Linked DNA regions of Daphnia pulex. The protein of the gene in region 1 interacts with the protein of each later gene in a pairwise test. Links are inferred from orthologs where the notes say so. Each region holds a gene or a part of one and is shown in the gene's direction. Other genes may lie near its edges. The genes, in order: nuclear pore complex protein Nup50-like and importin subunit alpha-1-like.

Region 1 (4,168 bases):
CCTAGTTATCTTTATTCGGGGGTTGCTGTTTAGAAATCGAGGCCGCAGTTGAGTGAATGCTGTCTTTTTGTAGTCCAGCAGCAACCGCGGTCCGTTTATAAAGAAAGAAGAATAATCGTGGAATGGAAAGTATAGATTCACAAGTATATGTGTGCGACATACAGTATACGGAAATAAATCATTCGCTAAATGAAACACCGTGGGGTTTTCGTTTGCTCGTCCGTCGCAGAAGGAGAAATTAGATAATTGTAGATAAATAATACCAGTTCTCGAAAGATGTTAATATAACCGAAATGGTGTTGGTTCAAACTTTTTTTTTTCCATCGGCGATCTAGTTGGGTTATCTCCTTGTATACATTTTGGCGCTATTCGTCTTCTAGCTCGTTGAGATTTCATCGTAACCTTTTTTTTTTCTTTTAGAGTATTTCAGTTGGGCCGTCCTCCAGCGTGTGCAGCCAATTGAAGATCATCATATTCCTCATGTATTTTGACAGTGGCCGGCATTGATCACGTTCGACGTCGTTGAGAGTGAGGGCGCTTTTGATCCATGTGGCATCCAGCGGAGATGAATTACCGCCAGATCCGGCTTTGGCACTCAACGACTCCTCACCGCTTCCGAAAGGCTGACACTGTGACTGCTCCGACTGCATCGTCAGATCCACCTGGCCACTGGCCGCCTCGGCAACGACGGCAATCTGATCGAGATTAAACTGGCTCTGCGACAGACGCTCCAGCGCCTTGTAAGCTGTCAGGAGCCGGGGAAGTTTTTGTATGTTATACATTATCACTGGGGCACTAGCACTACACAAGCGACACCAAATGGGATTTGTTGGCAACTTATCAACGATAAGTTATTATCTTTGTAAGGACCATTGTGAGTGACTGACACAGGCCGGTGCGATTTTTTATTTGAAAGTCGTTTGGATTTAATTGACTTGTATTGTGTAGTAGGGTGATACACACCCGGACATTTTTTTGCGGTAAACCAATTTTACGAAATTCAATTTTTGCTTGCGATTTCTTTCTTTCTTTTTGGGCTGTTGTTGTTTTCTTTTTGTATTTATTTTTTAAATTGCGTACTAGTTATGGATATTGACATAATTCAAGTACTCCCGTTATTTGAAGATTTTGCCCTTTCTATCTTTTCTCATGTAAAATCCAAATCCGTGCCTTTCAGTCAAATTTATGTTCTTATTTGATTCGAGTGCACTGTTCTTTGTGATTCTTGTTCGGCTCATGTTAGACTATGCGTTCCTCTAGAAGGTTTCTTCATTTATTACCATTCGACGACAAGTGCTGGAGATTACACCAAGGTGACGGTCTTGGGCGGCAACACCCGCACTCATATTGTCACTCATTTACTGCCCGAGACGCACTACGATCTGAAGATGCAGTCCTTCAACATGCAGGTACCCGTTCAGCAGCAAACTTTCGTTTACATTTCTATCCCACCCATGGAATGTCGTGAAGTATAATTTCTCTTCCACTTTGACTTTGCCGTGAGCTGGGTACGTCTGAATTCTTCTTAGGTAAATTATCGGCAATTTTTAGGCTATTCACTCATTGAATGGAATTTTATTTATATTCTCGAAAGATGGGTACGACCTCGAGTAAACGATGTTTAAAAAAAATGTCTGGCAACATTGTTGCCAGACAGTGTTGCCAGAATTTTTTTTCACTGGCTCGAATCGTGTGAAAATCGTGTGAAACCGGAAATTGTAATTTACTTTCAGTTTTAAATTGTAAGAGTAAGACTCCGTTCAGTTGACTTATTAACCCAACAGGTAACTTCAAATGGCTAAGCGTACGGCGACTCGAGAATTAAATCACGACAACTGGAATGACGAAGAAGAGGAGGAGGAGGCGGGAAGCTTCCAACAGGCTTCGGACGAGGCATTAAAGGGCCGTGTGATTAGACAAGCAAAAAGAAGGATTGCAGGCAATGATGGAGAGGTAATTTATTGTGCTAAGTAACAATCTAGTCAATTGGTTAACTAGTATTTAAGTGTGTCAGATGTTTTCCACATATTTCTCAGGTTTTTTTGTAACCAGGTTTGAATGAATGACAGAACTACAACCGTGTTCCCAATTCCAGAATATTTTTTTACAGCGTGTTTTATTTTATTCCCTTACAGGCGAAGAAGGGTTTTTCTGGGTTTGCTGGTTTTGGAGTTCGCACAGGTTCTGAACCCAGTAAAGCATTCTCCAACTTTGCTATCAAAGTACCAACTACTGTAGAAACAGGCAAGACAGAAAATGGAGAAAAGACACCAACTGATAATGGGGCTAATGAAAAAGAGTACCTTGCCAACCTAAAGTCTCTGAATGAGACTGTTACAACATGGATTACAGACCATGTAAAAAAGAACCCATGCTGTGTACTCACTCCCATCTTTCGAGATTATGAAAAGCATTTGAAAGATCTAGAATCCAAACGAGCTTCACCATCTTCAAAAGAAAACATGACTACTGAACCTGGCAAGATTGACAGTGAGAAGCTTGAAGACAAGAAATTCCAATTTGGTTCTGCATCAGCAGAAGCTCCAAAACCCTCTTTCAGTTTCTTCGGCAATGGGTCGACAGTTTCTACACCGGCCAAACCACCCTCAACATTTTCATTCGCTAGCTCAACGCCGACAACAGCACCATCGATTTCAACTTTTTCCTTTGGCGCCCCTGCTAAAAGTGATCAAGAATCAAAGACTCCGTTATCGACATTTTCGTTCAAGGCATCCAGCACTAGTTCAACCACTAGTCCACCTTCTACCGGCGGGTTGTTTGCCTTTTCCGGCACTAAACCTGCTGCTACTACTACTACCGCACCAGCCTTTTCGTTCGGGTTTTCTAGGTAGTAATCCAACAAATCAATTTTTCATTTTAATGTCTTTAATTCGTATTATTATCTTTGTGTTTCTAGTACTAAGCCGGCAACAGAAGTGAAAAAGGAAGAAGCGGAAGGTGGTAAAGACGGCGAGGAAGGAGAAGATGAAGACGTTCCACCTAAAGTGGAAGTTAAAGAAGTCAAAGAGGAAGACGCCTTCTATTCTATAAGGTACAAATTTTACTTTTATTGGCTTATTTTTTGTGTTTTAACGCTAACATTTTTCCCGCTCAGATGTAAACTGTTTTACAAAAAGGATGCCAATTACACGGAAAAAGGTGTTGGCACAATCCATCTAAAGAAAGTCAAGGACGATAAAACGCAACTGGTGATCCGTGCCGATACCTCGCTGGGCAACATTCTTCTAAACATCATTTTAAACCCACAAATAACGACCCAGCGAATCGGCAAGAATAATGTCATGCTGGTTTGCATTCCCAACCCGCCTATTGATCCAAAAACGCCGCCTGTCCCGACACCCATGCTCCTTCGTGTGAAGACGGACACTGAAGCCGATGAACTCTTGGCCAAATTGAACGAAGCAAAAAAATGATCGACTTGGGTCAGTCATGCATAATTTGAGTTCTTTTTGTTTCTTCCATTTTCTTGTGATCCCCCATTTCACTATTTTATTCATTCAATTATTTTTTTACGATCTGTACAATAACAATCCCCGTTTGAGACGACCGTGATTTCACCACAGGCAAATTTCAAATCAAATTCAATACAAGTAAGAACCTAATATGTAGTTTCTTTTCTTTTTATTGTACGGTTGATTCAAAAGAGTGTGGAGTATGCCGTCATCACGAATCACGATGGAATGTCGTATTTATTCCGGACTGACTGGATGGTAACATTCTTGGATGTGAGCCGTGAGCCGACCGAGATTTAATATGTGATCTGGTTTCAGCATTTAGAACTCGAAAGGAGATGACAGACGAGCTCTGCGGAATGGGAAACCATCACGTATTGAGTTATCATAATTTTTTCGTATCAATATTTTCCTGTCCAGTATGTCACTCATCGATCATTTCCAACTTTAGGAGGAAAAAATAGTCAAACCGACTACGCTACGGTTAAGCCCCTTTCACTTGGTATTTTTTTTATTTCTCAAGATTTTTTATGGCTTTACGTCATGGCGTATCAGCGTTCAACTACATGTCTTTATAATCGACTAGTCCCACGAGGGAGAAATAGTATCCAACTGTGTTTGATGTCGTGTTAAGTAAGTCAGTGATGAAGCCATCACGGTAGAATCGGGTTGTAACCGTAGAGGCTAGTAAGCAA
Region 2 (4,551 bases), on another chromosome or scaffold:
ACAACTCACCATGGCGACAACCAGGCAGACGGCAACCAGAAGGAAGAGAATCGGAAGGAACTTCATTTTTTATCTAGGAGATCAGACGTGGGGGTTTAGGAATTCAAACGCCCAAGTGGGTCGTCATTTTATAGTCGAGCCGCATTTTTCTATGTCGATTATTTAAGTAGCGCCAGTTGAACTATCGGATTCAAATGAAACTTGACAATTTACGAGGGGCTGGAAAATGATTGGACGTGATACGAATGTGTTGGAATAAACACCAACTGCAACACCAACTTTGCAGGGTCGTTGTAATCCAGTTGAACCGATGACGGGAGTTGCAGCTGTTCACGTTGGATTTCTCCGTTTCTTTTGGAACTGCCCGGCGGATTGCAACTAATTGTGGGGAAATTGGAAATGAAAAGGAATTTTAGAGTCTATTAGCACACGTGACCTAATCACAGAATATGATTAGTTTTTAAGAAACGTATAGACTGAAAAATGTGTTTAACGTATTACGTGCACACTGTCCAGCACGGATTTTACGACCACCTGTGTCGGAATTAGCGATTCCAACTGAACTATATTTGGTACGCTCTGTTGATCAAACTTGTCGAAAGGCTAAACGGTCCCCTCTTGCAGTCGGATGAAACTGATTTTTAAAAATAAAAGTTATTTGCCTGCCACTGATTTAATAAATTAAATGAAATAAGATATATAACTTGAATTCACAACTGTTAGTGTTTAAAGCAATTAAAACGTTTTAATTTCTACAGAAAGTTTAGAGATCAGACAAGAGACATTGTAAATCTAAATTTCATTCTGTATGTTTGGTATCACAGCTAGGCCTACCTCATTTCGTTAGGAAGATGTATTAAAATGAAGTTTCTTCCATACTTTATCTGTTGATTCTGTTCACACTGATTTTGGATGATACTCTTACAACTGATGGAAAATTTGGTCTGAAAAATATTTGAAAATTTAGTATAAATTAATTTGGGTTGTGGGAGAAAACTTTTCTTTCTTCCAGATGGCAGTCTAAAGTTTAAGCTTTCAGGAATCGGCTGGCACTGGCTGGTATTCAAATTTTTGCCACTTTTTTAGTTTGGAAAACAGTTTTATATAAATTGAATGTTCAAGATTACTGGATCTATATTTGTATAACTTCTTCCTGCCAACATAAAAATTGTTGATGCTAGTTTTATGAAAACTGTTTAAACCAGGGGAGAGATCTCTGACACTGTCATTTGGACATCATCATACATCATGTTCTTAAAGAAAGACTTCCAACAGATCATTAAGTCAGAAGGTTAATTAATGAGAAATCCTATGGTAACAAATTCTTATTAAAATCAATTATCAATTTCAGTTAAATTCTATTATGACCAGCTCCATCGGCGTTTTTCATTTTCTGCTTATTTTGAAATTTTAAATTTTCTCGTCTGCTTATACGTTGCCAGATTTGATCCCATTCCGATTGCATCAATGAATAAATTTGGCAACAGGCAACGGTTAGGTTTGAAATTCCCTCCCCCTTCTTCTTCTTCGTCGTCTGGAATTCTCTTAGCGATCAAACGGTCACCATTCATCAATTGATTCTTGCTCACAAGTCCCGCAGGTAATTCCTCTCTCTATTAATTTTCAATTTTTCTGACATTCCCACGTGGAATAATAGTTTACTTCTTGCTTCGACTATAACAAATTGTGAAATAATGGTATGAGTCATCATTGACACATTTTTAACGACTGCCATAGTCTGGGAAATTTTGCACGTGGCGCGGGAAATTTTTTCTCTTTGTTGCTTCATTGTCTCGAGTCCCATTTCTCATTTTTCTTTTGTCATTGTGCCAGATTTGAAAATCCCTTTTAGAATTCTCTTTCTTTGACAGCTGGAGTAAATTACACTATCACAATGCCTACTGAAGCAAATCCCAGCCGGTTGAAGGACTTCAAGAACAAAGGCAGAGATGTTGAGGTAAATACCTTAAAATAACTAGTGTCAGTTCTCAAATGTAACAGATTTTTCATCTTTCTTGTTCAGGAAATGAGGAGGAGACGTACAGAGGTGAATGTTGAGTTGCGGAAAGCCAAGAAGGAAGATCATTTGTTGAAGAGACGTAACCTTGAAATCGATGATGAGCCCCTCAGCCCACTCCAAGAACAGAATCGGATGGCTGCAGCAAATATGAGCATTGAGGACATAGTCAATGGTATGTGTGCATCAGTTTTTATTTCTGAGTTGCTTCTCATATGTTTTTCATTATCGTTAGGTATCAACAGTGGTGATGAGAACAAGGAGATCACTGCAACCCATGCTGCCCGTAAAATCCTCAGCAGGGAACGTAATCCACCCATTGACATCCTCATTAATGCAAATGTTGTTCCGAAGCTGGTGGAGTTTCTCAGTCGTGTCAGCAAGTATGTCAAGTGTCTCTTTTGGTTTTTGAACATTTCCTAATGGTCTTTCTTTGTTTCAGCCCCGATCTGCAGTTTGAGTCAGCCTGGGCTCTCACCAACATTGCTTCAGGCACATCTGACCAGACAAAGGCTGTCGTCAGTGCTGGGGCTGTCGCTGGCTTCATTTCCCTGTTGGGGTCACCTCATCCAGTTGTGGCAGAGCAAGCTGTTTGGGCTCTGGGTAACATCGCCGGAGACGGACCAGAGCTTCGTGATCACGTCATCGAGCAAGGCATTATCAAGCCTCTGCTTACTTTGATTAAACCTGATACTTCGGTGAGTTTTATTTTAAATTTACGTTCGTGTGCAGTTGTTAATTGATTTGATCTATAGGCCACATTCTTGCGTAATGTCACTTGGACTTTGTCCAACTTGTGTCGTAACAAGAATCCTCCGCCCAGTGTCCCTGCCGTCCGGCAACTGCTTCCCGCATTGGCCCACCTGATCCACAACAACGACAAAGAGATCCTCGCCGATGCTTGCTGGGCTCTTTCTTACCTCACCGATGGCCCCAACGAACGGATTCAGGAGGTTGTCGACGCCGGTGTCGTCCCACGGCTGGTCGCTTTGCTGGACCACGTTGAGGTGGCCGTGATCACCCCCACTCTGAGAACAATCGGGAATATCGTTACAGGAAGTGACATTCAGACCGATTCCGTCCTGGCTGCTGGTGCCTGCCCGTTGCTGGCCAAGTTACTCGTTCATGCTAAGATGAACATCGTCAAGGAGGCTGCCTGGACCGTGTCCAACATTGCTGCCGGCAATGCCATCCAGATTCAGGCTCTCATCACCAACAATGTTATTCGTCCGTTGGTGGATGTGCTGGGCAAAGGTGACTTCAAATGCCAAAAGGAGGCAGCTTGGGCCATCACCAACATCACTTTAGGTAACTTATTTCATTTTTACTGGTGTTTTATTGATTTTTAATTGATTTTTCTTATTCATTTCAGGTGGCAATGTGGAGCAGATCGCCTTGTTGTGCCAGTTTGGTGCCATCGCTCCGCTGTGCACTTTGCTGGAGGCAAAGGAACCCAAGACCATCTTGGTCGTGCTGGATGGATTGGCTAATATTTTGGCCGCAGCTGAGAAAATGGGTGAATTGGAGAAAGTTTCCCTTCACGTCGAAGAGTGTGGTGGTCTGGACCGCATCGAAGCTCTGCAGAGCCACGACAATGTTGAAATCTATCACAAGTCATTGGCCATTCTGGAGCAGTACTTCTCAACTGACGTAATTTATTCTTTTTTTATTGTTTCTTTTTTTGGGTTTATTTCAATGATTACCACAACTGTTCACATTCATAGTGTTTGTGCTGACAACTTAACCATTACTGAGATTTTAGAAAATTAGTTTTATTTTGAAATAGTGTTCTTGAATTTGATTTAATCGTTTTTGTTTGTTATTTCGACAGGGGGATGAAGATTCCGAGTTGGCGCCATCTACATCGCAGAGTGGCAATTACGAATTCAACAACTCGCCATCTCAAGCCCCCGAAGGAGGTTTCTCATTCTAAATTTTGTATAATCTAAAAATTCTTTTTGATTTTTTTCTGCCTTTACAACGGTAAATATATTCTTCACTTTCTTGAACGCTATCCTAATCATGAGTTTTGGCCTTTTCTTATTTCAAAGTTTTTTTCTAAATTGTTTTTTAATTGAAAGTTGCCATTTGCTTTCATTTCTGTCCATGCACGACGTCTTCTTTCCTCTTTCTCAATGCGCGATAAACGAGCAATACAAAACAACTCGATCAACTCTACATTTGATAAGTTTTGATTTTGTCGTGCTAGTTTTTATTTTTTGTATTTCAAGTTGATTTCCTGATTCCAGGTTGTTGGCTGCTTACAGTTAATCCGTGTTCTGACATTTGTAGATAATTTCCACATCAAAGTTTCATTTCTACGTTGACATTTAACCCTAACAGATACTACTATCGACTACAGGAATCATCTTACAACGTCTGGACCCTTATCAAAGTTAAATTAGTTTTCCAATGTTTTCTTTAAAGTTTTTGCTATTATTTAACAGGATTCAGGATTTCCATTCTGAAGTTGATCAGCAAGTAGTAGTCGATCCTTATGGCACTTTGATCCACGATTGCTGTTGGATGAATCA

The links.
Region 2: the proteins of nuclear pore complex protein Nup50-like (region 1) and importin subunit alpha-1-like interact in a two-hybrid assay, tested with the Drosophila melanogaster proteins (2 studies listed by BioGRID). The link is inferred for Daphnia pulex from reciprocal best matches to the Drosophila melanogaster genes Nup50 and Pen.

The regions. Positions count from the first base shown.
Region 1 is NC_060026.1:3,791,084-3,795,251, forward strand, and holds nuclear pore complex protein Nup50-like, read left to right. Parts: upstream 1-1,655; 5' UTR 1,656-1,718; intron 1,719-1,784; 5' UTR 1,785-1,794; coding exon 1,795-1,953; intron 1,954-2,135; coding exon 2,136-2,848; intron 2,849-2,910; coding exon of another isoform or gene 2,911-2,917; coding exon 2,918-3,052; intron 3,053-3,115; coding exon 3,116-3,434; 3' UTR 3,435-3,623; downstream 3,624-4,168.
Region 2 is NC_060028.1:48,691-53,241, reverse strand, and holds importin subunit alpha-1-like, read left to right. Parts: upstream 1-1,447; 5' UTR 1,448-1,600; intron 1,601-1,833; exon of another isoform or gene 1,834-1,871; 5' UTR 1,872-1,894; coding exon 1,895-1,957; intron 1,958-2,023; coding exon 2,024-2,192; intron 2,193-2,252; coding exon 2,253-2,400; intron 2,401-2,459; coding exon 2,460-2,715; intron 2,716-2,772; coding exon 2,773-3,325; intron 3,326-3,389; coding exon 3,390-3,667; intron 3,668-3,848; coding exon 3,849-3,950; 3' UTR 3,951-4,195; downstream 4,196-4,551. UniProt on the Drosophila melanogaster protein: Binds specifically and directly to substrates containing either a simple or bipartite NLS motif. Promotes docking of import substrates to the nuclear envelope. Seems to act as a cytosolic receptor for both simple and bipartite NLS motifs.